3 linked regions of the Saccharomyces cerevisiae S288C genome follow. The gene in region 2 interacts genetically with the main gene of each other region. Each region holds a gene or a part of one and is shown on either strand. Other genes may lie near its edges.

Region 1 (4,505 bases), on a different chromosome or scaffold from region 2:
CCCTGTTCAACAGTTTAGCTAATGGAGACTGTGAACCAAAATCTTGTCCAAACTTCCAAAAGGACCCTGACATATTTTTTCCTAATTATTAAATGGGCAAAACGATAAACGCCACTATTCTTAAACACTAACTAAAACGAATTTTTCAGAATCTCTAATCAACTAAAATTAGCATGTATTACCTCAAGCTAAAAATATTTAAAGATCTTAGTAAAATATATCTTTTGCGTACCTTTCCCAAATACACAAGCTAAACTACCCTTATCAAGCAGATCTGGTGAAATTTTAAACAAAAATAGTCCCGTTCGATGACTTCGAGCGATGCCCAAGCTTTTCTCATTCTCTTCGGAGTGTTTTGGCGTTAGCCGTCAATCCCTCGCAAAAAAAATTTTCTTCCCAGTTCAAAATGTAAAAAAAAAAATAAAAGGTATACGGTTACCCTTACCCTCAGTCCATCCAACCGTAGTGGTTATATAATAATACTAAGAGCACCGTTTTGTTCAAGGTTGTACTGTGTGATCTAGGTCGGCTATCCACGCAAGCATGGCATCGATCATGACCATGATTTCGTCTCCTATGGAAGGTTGAAGAAGGATCTTATTACGCAGTATATGCGTCCCCAATTCGTTGCATAGCTTTTCTAGCAGTTGCAGATTAAATATCTGGCAATAATTATAATACCTGCAATCATATGATATTTTCTTAATTAATAAACTTATTATGGTATCTGTGTCTAGTAATGTAACCTCTTGAATATTTTTTGGAGGTTGCAGGTATATTTTTAGCAGCTGCTGGCAACTTACGGGGTCGAATCGAGCTACTATGCTTGTTCTTAGACAAGCTACGGCATCTTCCCAATGCCAGGTACGCAGCATGATCAAACCCAAAAGTTCCCACTCTAATCCGCTGTGTTTTTCATCTTTATTGCTTAGGCTAATCTTGCTCAATTTCAAGTCTTGATATAAATCTAAAAATAAATCATCTAGCCACCCTTCACAAAACCTTTTCTTTCGGGATTCCATCGGTATATGACCGTTTTCATCGATAATGTTGTTAGAAGCTTGATAGAATTCAGTTTCCATCATGAAAGCTTCTGTTCGGATGTTTAATAAGCCATTCCAACCAATTTTGTTCACAATTTCCATTAATAACCCATATATTTTACCACTAAACCATCCCAATTGTTTGCCGATCGTATTCCTTGCTATTAAATTGATATTTTTTATGTTTTTGACCTCTTGAGGGGAGACATAATTAATCAGATTCACAGATTGTGGACCACAAATCGGACCCAACTTTATCGCAATATCATCCCAGATTTCCTTTGTATAACCGATTTTTTTTTCGTTTATCATTGCGATTCTTCCAAAAATTTGCCGTTTTAACTCATCCTCTTTCCAATTCCTCAACGTTCCCGAGAGATTCGTGAATTCCATTGCAGTCAAGTCGTAGTGTTCGCGGGTACCATTCAATGGCTTTTTATAATAATTGGAGGTAAGAAACCTACTGTACATTGTTTCCAGGTGTCCATCATTTTTGCGCAAACGAGGCATTGAATTTATTGCGAAGAGAGCCTTTTCATACTCCTCTTTTTTGATGTGGCATCTCGCTAGGTTGTACCAAGATTCAAAAGAGTCTAAGGCTAGTTCGGTTGATGTGTTAGAGACGCCTAATGCTAGTTCGTAATCACCCCTGTTTAACAAAAAATTTGTTTGAATGTTCAGCAAGTCACTCATGCAATTCATTAATCGTGCTGAATCAGCATCGCGAGGCGGTAAATCATTTAGCAGAGATAAAAGGGGGTCGAGCGTCTCATTTAAAATAGTTATCATGTCTAACTCCTTTGTTTCTATGTGATCTAGAATTGTGATCATAGCCGTCTTGTAGTATATGTCATGGATTGGATCTTTCTTGGTAAGTCCTTTCAGGTAGTCGATTGTAAAATCCACTAGGCTTGGCGTGATTGCAATAAAACTTTTTAAACTATACATTAAATAGTTATTGACAATGGTGGCTTGCATACTCTTGGTAGAATCCCACCCGCAATTCAGTGACCGTGGTAAGAATCGGCAGAGTAATTCTATGATCTTTTTGCAAGAGGAGATAGTATCTTTTCCAACGTAGAATGGACACTCTACTAAACCGGGAGGTTTTAACTCTGGATTAGTATTTGTTATTATCGCTCGGATGACAGAACTTGCGAACGTTTCTTCCCACATTTTTTCTGTCATGGTCAGGTCAGTGGTTTCCTTGTTACAGTCAATTGCCGTTGTCTGGAAAGTATCGTCAGCATCGTATCTAATACGGATGTCTAGATTGCTGAAAAAATTAAAACAGCAATAAGTCAATATGATATTATTCGATATATTTTTGGAAATCCGCTTACTCGATTTTAGCACTTCAAGAAACTCTACGGGCATTGCAGGACCGGAAACTTCGATCCCTGTAACGTAGAAATATTCACCAAACTCTTCTTTTTCATGTTTGTTTAAGTAGGACATGTGAACAATCTCAATGGGACCTAGTCCAACATTGCCAGAAGAAATTAAATCCTTGATTAAATGCGTTCTATTGTGCAGACACTCACCAAACTGCCTTTCCATAATTCGTGGACAACTTTTAAATATGTCTCGATTGAGGAATTGATAACCCTTTTGTACTGAAGGTGAGTTCCCAGGTGTATAATCGCCACCAGGTATTTCATTTTGCTTTTTGGTTTCCGATGGCCAAAACAAATTCATAAGGGCAATAGATGTAATCCTTTTTTGCACCAACAGCTTAAGAAAGGTGTTTGCTTTTAATGTGAGTTAAGTAATGTAATGATTTGTTAAGATCCTCTATTCCTTTTTGAGTATCTATTTATTTTCCTAAATTCTTCAAGGCTATTTTTACCATGAATCCGCTAAGATCTGTTTGGGTTCCGATTTTTCGAAGACACACAAAAATAATAGCCGGTTGCTTTCTAACACTACAGAAAGAGGTTTTTTCGAAAGAGTCTATTTCCTATATGCTAAAGTAGAGTTATGATTTCTTTATATTGAGTATGTATTGAATTATTTTCCAAAAAATCAACACCAGGTGAATACGGGGGTGGAATTGACTATTTGTAGCCGCTCTGCTATCACTGTTTTATTAGCAAATGGGTGCAGAGTGGAATCATAGTATACAGGATTACTATTGCTTTGGTTATGTGCATGAAATGGAATTGTGCTTGGGGTGCTAGGGAGTACCATTGGTGAAGTGGAATATGATCCAATAGGTTCGTCTATGGCGTTTTTGAAAATAGAAACTGGAGGTGGGCAACAGGGAACTTGCATCTTCTCATCTATTACCTGGCACCTTGTCCTTCTAACCAATTCCAAGGGGCCTTGTCGTGGGTCTTTCAATGTTTCGACAACGTTGAACGCCTGTCCTTTTAATACTGCCCATTGCTTCTTCCACATTCGGACGTTAAAATCTTGGTCCCTGCTAAATAGGGCCAAGAATTCTTGGTACGACTCTTCCCACCAATTAGTGCTTGTCAATATCGGTAGGAAATGAGATCTCATTTGCTCAGAAAATGGTTTGGCTAGTAGTTGCAGAGGCAAATACAACCAGCCATATGGGTACAGACGCCACTCATCAGGATGCTTCCAGGGAAAGGACAACCCATTGTCGATGGCGGCTAACTTGAGTCTCCACTTATTGTTTGAAAGTTTGATTAGTTTCACCATCCAATTGTCTAGACCTCTATCTGTGTTTCTCATTATATAATCAAGGATAATTAGTTTTTCTAGTTCCAATCTGAACTGACTCAAACTTGATTCTGTCCATTCAAATTTCGAATTTTCTTCAGATTCCGTCGAAATTGGAGAGGAATTTATTTGCTTGGACGGTTCTGTCTCATCTGTTAGGTTCCTGGTTGTCTCTGGTTTATGATTGATATCTTCGCCGGATGACTTACGATGAAATGAATGTTTAACATCTGAATACATCCCAGGTAATGGGTATTTATGAAAGAACTCATCGGCGTTGATGTACTCCTTCAAAAAAAGTTGGAAAGAACCCAGCTTTTTTTGTTTCTTCTTCTGAAGGTTGTATCCCAATACCCATTTTTTTCTATTATCATAAAAATTAAAAGACTCTATAGATGCAGTATCTGTATAGGGTACTAGATGCGTTTCCAGTCGCCTATCCAACAAACTAGCCGCACTTTCACAGATGTACCCGAGGTTTGGAATCAGACAACTTCTGCCAAACAGACATGGGAAAAACGTGCGGTGTGCCCATTTGGTCCATTTGGGAGAAAATGGGCCATATGGTTCCTCATCCTTGGGCTTGAAGACCCCCACCGGAACGCTTTCGTCGGCCCGTGTTCCATACACAAAGTACGACCCACTTGAGCCAGTTTGGATTCTCTCGAGTTCGCGTCCAAATGTCTCTACAGCCTCAATACAGTCAGAAACCAAATGGTTGAAGTTTTCCCTCTGTTCTTGTTCTTCTTTTCTTCGGAGCTGCTCATATGC
Region 2 (3,895 bases):
TATCTTTAGTGATAATTTACCGATGGAGTACCAAGGCATGGCTGGGTCATTGGTGAATACTGTTGTCAATTACTCCATGTCCTTGTGTCTCGGTATGGGTGCCACAGTAGAGACACAGGTCAATTCAGACGGAAAGCATCTTTTGAAAGGCTATAGAGGTGCTCAGTACCTTGGGATAGGATTGGCAAGTTTAGCATGCATGATTAGCGGGCTTTACATGGTCGAAAGCTTCATAAAAGGCCGCAGGGCAAGAGCTGCTGCAGAATACGATTGCACTGTGGCTTAGCGGAAAGCGGTTATTAAGGTAAATAGATAGAAATACACCGCTGTCATGCGATTATATAGACATGGGGCATTTAGACACTGAAAGTCTTCATATCTCAACATGCAACTAGTAATAGTACAATTTTTAGTACCCTTTAATCTTTATTGTTCGCTCCCTAATAACGAAGCCTTGAACTGTAACCAGATCCCAGGTTACCCCTTATCCTTAAGAGGTCTTTTATTTACTCTACATAATATATATTTTTCAATCCATTGAAGAGGATTAAAAGAAGAAAAATCAATACCGAACAAAAAAACAAAACGAAATAAAACAAAACAAAAAATTAAATTAAATTAAATTAATATTAAATGTCATCATGATTCTTACTCTGATTGTCTTCTCTTCTCTCTTTCCCTTGACGCAATTTCCTTCAAATCGTCATCGCTCGGTTCATAAATATGCCAAATAGTATAATGCGGTAAACCACCAACCCTGTACCCCATTTTCTTTGCCATTTTACCAAATGCTTCTGTTTCTGCATGATTTTCAAAAGTAAATGCAGGAAACTGTACCCCGTTTCTAAATATTTTGGCCTTCGCCAAAATAGAAACTCCCCCTACACCGTCCAAGTCCACCGCTTCATTTGGATCACCTTCTGCATCTCTGATATAGGCTAAGTGAACTCTCCACGTAGGATATTCTGCATAGCCTTCTACAATAACATCATCTTCGTCAAGAGTCTTTGCCAATGCTAGTGCCTCCTGAGATTCCATCCAAGAATTCAAATCATATGGTTGTTCAGTTCCCAAAAATGTAGGTAGTGGTCTCCAAACGTTAGGGACGATAACATCGTAGTTTTTGCTCATCAAATCTTGAATGACTGAACCAGGGCACAGCTCTACATCAGCATCTCTCCAATAAACCCATGAGTGGTAAGGTTTCAAAGCATTGGCAGTTAACCAATTTCTTGCCCTCCCCATTAGTTTTCGTCTTATACCTTGAACCTTAACGGCATGTCTGTCACTAAAACCTTGTCCAATTACTTGGCCAAAATCCTTTTGGAAAATTTGTACTGATCTAAATGGCTTGTCATAATTTTCATGGAATGGTGGTGAAAATGCCTGGTGGACACGGTTGATATAACCTTCGTCCATATATTTAAGATATAATTTATCGGTGCCTTTTGTTTGCGAATCAATGACAGCGTCAATCTCTTGAAAAATCTGAGACAACGTGCCATTTTGTAAGTGCCTAGAATACGCTATTAAAGCATCCAACGTAGTGTCACCTTCTGAGCAATCACTGACTAAAAAGGCCAGATCAATCAGCTCGTGTGGATAGGTTAGGTTCATTAAATGCTTGAACATTAATGGCAATACATCCGCAGCGTTTCTTAGTGGAATGCATAAAAGAATGTGATCACGTGTTTCCAATCCATTCGGAGCACCTTCAAAATTCGACAGGTCGTACTCCTCAACAGTGGAATCAAAAAGCATGTTGAGTTCCCTTTGGTATTTTTCATCATCCTTGGGAGTCAACACTTCTGAACCAAATTGTGATATTAGATAATGTTGCACACCATCATCAAATTTTGAAATCACTTCAGGATCGATATCCTCAAAATCATAGTCGTAATATTCTTCATCTTCTAGGTCGATAGTCTTGTAATTTTCGGAGGATTTTGAGGAACCCAACAACGACCTACCATTTTGCGTGGATACACCAATGCCCATTCCGGAGAGAAATGATATAAAGAGATATAACGACAGAACGGCGATAATAATAAGAGATGTGATACTCACCGTAAGCTGGAATTTAGACGGTGTGGAGCGCGGCTGGTACCTGTATTTGCCCTTTAATGAGTTGGAGTTATGCTCTGAGCGTTTGTCCTTGATGTTGTTCGAGCTACCGTTCCTTGAAATGGGCAGGCTTAGTCCATTGTCCATGGCTTTCTTCTTTATATTTGACCTTAAATTAAAAAACATGCCCATTTTTTTGTGTTAATTGGTAGGTCAACAAGCTCAAATGACTGTTACTGCACCCTTACGTCTACTTCTTTCACGTTACCATTTACTAATTTACAAGACGTAAACTTTCTTTGATTCTAAATATTTCAAGCCTTGTTTCGGTATAGTCGCCGAAGAACGAAAAAAAAAAAAAAAAAAAATTCCTCTCCGGAGATAAATTGAATACGTATTATTATATTAGGGACAAACACTGGTTCACTGAAAGCAGTTGTTTACATAGTTATATCGTGATCTGTGGCTATATCTGCAGGAGGAGATGTCGGGGCGTTTTCATTAGGCGTCGAATGAGGAGAGTGACTTGTAGTAGCATCGATATTGGTTGTGTTATGTGCTACAGGTGTAGTATTTGTAGTATCTTGCGCTGTCATTGTTGGCGGTTCCGATTCCGCGACCAGGTTCTCCGCAGGCATACTCGACATTTCATTCTCATCTTCACTGCTCCCTAAGATGCCAAATAAGTTTATGTCATCGTCCTCATCCTCGGCGTTTGTGTTGATAACTATGGTAGAGTTGTTTAATGCATTAGGGGTGGTCGTGTCGTCTGCAGCGTCCCTTGCGTGCTCGTTATTTAGTAGAAGCTCAAGATCATGGCCTTCATCTTGTTCCCTCTTTGTTCGTTGTGAAATAAGCTCTTCTTGCCGACGTTTTAGCGATTTTGCTCTTTCTTCCTTGGCCATTCGTATTTTTTCCTTCTTCAACTTCTGGACCTTAGGTAAATTGTGCATGAATAGTGTCATAGACTTACGAAATTGCAATTCTATGGTTTTTTGTATGGTTTTGTGAGACTGGTGAGGACTCTCTGGAAGGTAGAGAGTTTCAGAAATTTTCAAGAATGGATTTTTTGTTCTTTTCAACTGATTCACTTCAAATTTCGTGACACGTTCTCTCGCCAATTCCACTCTATACTTCGCATACTGCTCGATATTGTTTTCATTGAAGGACTTTTCAGTTATGGTTGGTTTCCTTTCTTCCAGCGCGTTGCCCCAAATCTCCAATTGTTGCTCGATAGCGTCCTCATCGTCTAAACCCGGCGGTTGCGGGGTATTTGACGCTGATGATATGTGGGAGAGACTTTTGTTCAAGTTCAATAGTGCCTTTTCAGACTCTTGGCTTTCTTTTACTATTTCTTTCTTGATGGTTTTTAGATCAGTAATTGGATGGTTGAACTCAGGTGTAAACTTATAGGTATGGTCAGGCGGAAAGTTGGGCAGCCAACTCGGTATCTGTTTTTCCAGTGGGTTAGAGGGAGGCAGCAAAACGTTGATCTCGTTCTGTTGCTCCTCGATATTATTCAATTCGTCCTCTTCATCTTCTTCGTTATGCGGTAAAGCAGCAAGAGACGACCAGCTCATCAATTTTTCATATTCCGTGGAATGCTTCGATTTGATGAATTCTGAGGCCTGAAACTGCTGATAAAGGGAGGGCGCATCCAGGTTAAACTCTCGAAGCAACAATTTCAAATCTGCTTGAGAAGCTTGCGACCTTCTTTGTAAAAGTGTTAAATTGTGCAGGTTCCGAAACATGCCGTCCATTTGGACGGTCACGAGGTTGACCAGCTCATCCAATGCAAAGTTTGAAATGCAGATGTTCAACGAATTCAACT
Region 3 (4,364 bases), on a different chromosome or scaffold from region 2:
CCTTCATGAGCATACAAGACCTGAAGCGTCAGTAATCAAGGCTTTACCCTTATTGGATTATCCAAAACAATTTCAGATTTATAGGGATGCTGAAAATAAGAGCAAAGACGACACATCTAATTCTCGTACTTGTATACCAAACTTGTCAACTAATGAAAATTTTCCTCTTTCACAATTCAGTCCAAAAACCCCAGTGCCAGTGCCTGATCAACCTCTACCAAAAGTTCTTATACCGAAAAGCATAAACTCGGCCAAGTCCAATAGATCAAAGACCTTACCAAATACAGAGGGTACTGGACGAGAATCGCAGAACAATTTGAAGAGAAGATTTACCACCGAGCCAATATTGAAGGGAGAAGAAACTGAAAATAATGACATACTGCAAAATAAAAAACTTCATCAATAAGGGGATATAGCCATTGTAAAATATTTGTATCACTATATGCATTGAGTGTAAACTGTTGCACCTATAAAGAATGAAAACAATCTAGTATGTGTACTTACATAATTACACAGTCTTTTTTTTTTTTACCTTGTTTATCCTTCTTGTTCTTCAAGCTTGTAGGTTTTTTTGACTCAGTTTTTACTGCAGGAAAATCTTTACGAATCATGTTTGAACTGCCCATATTTGATAAACTAACTTCTTGCTTTGCTGCCATCGACTGCTCAGCAACTTCCCTTGACATTCCCTTTGCTGAGGAAGAACTTTTCCTGATGCTTGTATCAGAACCCGTTTTAATACCATTTCTATTCGTGTTTGAATTCATGTTAATTTGCAAACCTTGTGGCTCACGATCACGTTTTGGATTTCCAGTAAAGAATGTTTCAGATTTTGAAGAAACTCTTGAATTTGACCCTACGTTACTTGTTTGACTGTCCACAGTAGAGAATAAATTCAAAGTACTGATACTTTTATTTTTTTTATGCTGTTTTTTACCAATGCTGGCTAGTCCACCGTCCCTTGAGCGTAGCTTATTAATCGCCCTCTTGTCCTCGTTCCCTGCAGCTTTCTCGTACCATTTCCATGCGTATTCCATGTTACGATCACAGCCCTTGCCATGCTCATAGAAGTAGCCCAGAGTGAATTGGGCCTTTGGCAAACCAGCATTAGCTGCACGCAAGGCCCATTGAAAAGCCTCATTTTCATCTTTTTCAAAAGCAGGTTCTGCTCCCAGTAAGTACCATGCACATAAACCTAACATTGCCACAGAATCGCCTTTTAACGCTGCCTGCGTATAATAGTGTACAGAAAGTGATGTATCCTGCCCTACTGTATCATTACCTGTTTCATAAATCTGTGCCAACAAAGTTGCTGAAGGAACATGCCCTAAACTTGCTGCTTGAATATATAGTTCCATTGCATACTTTTCATCCGGAATGACAACATCTAAGAACCCTTCATGATAAATCTTAGCCAATTCGTATGGTGCTGCGGCCGTCAACTCATTAGCTCTTGCTGCAGCCCTTGATAACCATTTTACCCCATTTAATTTAGTATTAACGTCGGTTGGAAGACCCATTCTGCCGTAGAATGAATAAAGTCCCAATTTATACATTGCTGAGGGATGATTCCTGCTAGCCGCAAACTTTAAAAAATTGACTGACTTACGAGAATCTCTTGTTGTTCCTAGTCCTTCTTCTAAGCAATGCGATGCTCTGTAAGCACTTTCTATATGACCATGCTTTGCAGCTGCTTGAAATAAGACAAATGCTTCTTTATTTTCAATCTTCCCAAATGCTCCGGATGAGTAGCCGTCCGCTAATAAGTATTGGGCATCTGAATAACCCTTTATGCTCAGTTTCTTCAAATAACTTTGCGCTTCTTTCAAAAACTGAAGTTTTAAGTCAGATTGGCTGACATTTCCTTCCTTGTCACTATCTTGAACAAGAGCATTGGAAGATTCAATAGTCAGTGCGGTTTGTAACATATATTGCGCATACTGGAATAACACTTCAGGATCTTTAGATTTTTTAACGTTTTGTCTATACATTTCTATTGTTTTTAGCCTTGGAACTAAGGAAGTATTATTTTTACCACCCAAATATCGACTGATCATCTGATGTGACAAATCTGCTACAGATTCATTAGTAGCCGTTAATTGGGTATCACTGCTACCATTCAACAGGTACATGTGAGACAAATCTACAGAACGAGTTCTTTTCTTTATTTGCTCCTTCGTAAGAGATGTACTCGAATTTGTCTGTCTTAATGCTCCCGGTGACGGAGAATTTGTAGGAGTACTTCCCAAAGAACTTAAGGAAGTATTATTTGAATTATTAAGATGAAGCTGTGGGGGTGGGACTGGAACGAAATCTTCCTCTTGACTATTGCCTATATCGTTTGATAGTAGAGGTACTGACGCAGCTCTAAGATGCTCATTGATAAGCGGTTGGTTTGCCGACCGCTTAGGAAGGTCTGCGGTACTGAAGTCTTCATTGTCCCTGTTTTCCCTATTCTCTTTATTATCTGAAAAATCTTGACCTACCTTCAACGAACTGTTTTGAAACTGTAGGCCCCTGTTATCAAAATTTATATGCTGTGATTGCATTAAATGCTTCTTATATGGATGTACCTGCGGTGAACTTGCCATTTTTTATCCTTTTATTTTAACTTTATCACCAAAAAAGACGAGAACCTGGTAGTATACAATGGAAGGCTTATTAACAGCAAGTCTAAAGTCAAGTGCCAACACCTAGTTTGTCTCTACTCTTAAATCTTACATCATCCTCGAGAGGGTCTGCAGAAAGAATTTTTCGTTCTTTTTTTAGCAAGTCAAAACGCGAAGTGAAACGTGGGAAAATATAACGATGACCTTTCTTAAAACATGCATGAAGACTCGTGAAAGTCATATGTACATATGTCGTATAGATTTGCAGATAGTTGCAACAAATAATTAGCGATTAGTTATGGCCTATACATGGCAGCTAAGTGCGATGGCATGTTCAAATGTATTATATTAAATCAAATGAACTTAAAATGCGATGTTTGGGTGCAAAATATCTATAGATGATAGAGACGGTTCATTGATCTTACGGATCAACTTTGAGATCAGTAAGGCTGACTAGATGGTACAATTTTGTGCAGTCAATGGACTATTAAGGGATCGCAAAGAGGTATGTGCGCCAGTTTAAACGAGGTAAAAAAGAATGACACCTATGGGGTCTCACAAAAGGGCTACAATGACAATTTCAGTGAAAGTGAGGGCGTCCTTCATGGTAGTAAGTCGATGCCCACTAGCATGAAAAATATGCTACAGTCTCCCACGATGGTCAACATGTGTGATATTTTACAAAACAAGGAAGCTGCTAATGACGAAAAACCTGTGATACCTACTACGGATACCGCCACTGCGGGGACTGGTACTGAAGATATTAGCTCCACTCAATCCGAGGAAACTGATCAGAATAGTCATCTTATTGCCTCAGAGATCTTGGAAGGCACTTTCAAAGATGTATCTTACAAGGAATATGCAAATTTCTTGGGAAACGATAACAATAATCAAGTCTTGACTGAGTTTGTAAAGTTATTGAGTCCTTTGCCGTCGTCACTATTAGAAACGCTTTTCAATTTATCGAAAAGTATATATTTCATTGCAGAAGCGCAAAATATCGACCGGATACTAGAGTGCTTGAGCATAGAATGGATAGCTTGCCACCCGAACACACATTGGAAGTCAGGCTATAAGTCATGTCATATAGTCTTATTTTCCCTGTTGATCCTTAATTCGGATTTGCACAACAACTTTCAAGTTGACCATAAAAAGATTAAGTTTTCCATGGTTGCATTTATCAACAATACACTGAGGGCACTAAGAGAGGAAAATGAATACGAAGAATTGAAAATATACTCCCGCGAACATTTGATCATCGAAGAACTTTCCGAATACTATAAAACGTTAAATGAAACGCCTTTACCGTTATGCACAGAATCTAGAACATCAATAAATATATCAGATAACCAATCTTCCTTGAAAAGGTTCTCTACTCTAGGATCACGGGAATTTAGTACATCAAATTTACGTAGTGTTAACTCTAATTCTACTACACTATATTCAAGAGATGGTCAAGTATCTGTACGAGAAATGAGCGCAAAATCAAATAAAAACTTTCACAATAATCACCCCATGGATGCACTCTACCTTAAAGAGTCTTTTGATGACGGTTTAATTACCGAAAACGGCTCCAGTTGGTTCATGGACGATTTAATTCTTATAAGCAAGAAATCTTTACCACGTAAATATTCTAAAAGAGACAAAGATCAAGTGGCGGCACCAAAAATGACCTCTAAGAGAAACAAATCGTTCTTCGGATGGCTAAAACCATCTAAAACGACTACACTTATTGAGCACACATCTAGAAGGACT

The links. A genetic interaction does not mean that the proteins touch.
Region 1: mutations in VAN1 (region 2) and CHS6 are lethal when combined (synthetic lethality), as found in Saccharomyces cerevisiae (3 studies listed by BioGRID, with this or other methods).
Region 3: mutations in VAN1 (region 2) and SKT5 are lethal when combined (synthetic lethality), as found in Saccharomyces cerevisiae (3 studies listed by BioGRID, with this or other methods).

The regions. Positions count from the first base shown.
Region 1 is NC_001142.9:237,650-242,154, reverse strand, and holds CHS6 (Chs6p), read right to left. Parts: upstream 2,742-4,505; coding exon 501-2,741; downstream 1-500. Other genes in the region: SAP185 (Sap185p), read right to left, coding at 1-73; 1-phosphatidylinositol 4-kinase LSB6, read right to left, coding at 3,069-4,505. UniProt on the Saccharomyces cerevisiae protein: Member of the CHS5-ARF1P-binding proteins (CHAPS) which mediates export of specific cargo proteins, including chitin synthase CHS3.
Region 2 is NC_001145.3:39,539-43,433, forward strand, and holds VAN1 (Van1p), read right to left. Parts: upstream 2,257-3,895; coding exon 649-2,256; downstream 1-648. Other genes in the region: ATR1 (borate transporter), read left to right, coding at 1-286; TAF8 (Taf8p), read right to left, coding at 2,505-3,895. UniProt on the Saccharomyces cerevisiae protein: Involved in regulation of the phosphorylation of a number of proteins, some of which appear to be important in cell growth control.
Region 3 is NC_001134.8:104,816-109,179, forward strand, and holds SKT5 (Skt5p), read right to left. Parts: upstream 2,592-4,364; coding exon 501-2,591; downstream 1-500. Other genes in the region: KIP1 (Kip1p), read left to right, coding at 1-406; Arf family guanine nucleotide exchange factor YEL1, read left to right, coding at 3,117-4,364. UniProt on the Saccharomyces cerevisiae protein: Activator of the chitin synthase CHS3 which polymerizes chitin, a structural polymer of the fungal cell wall.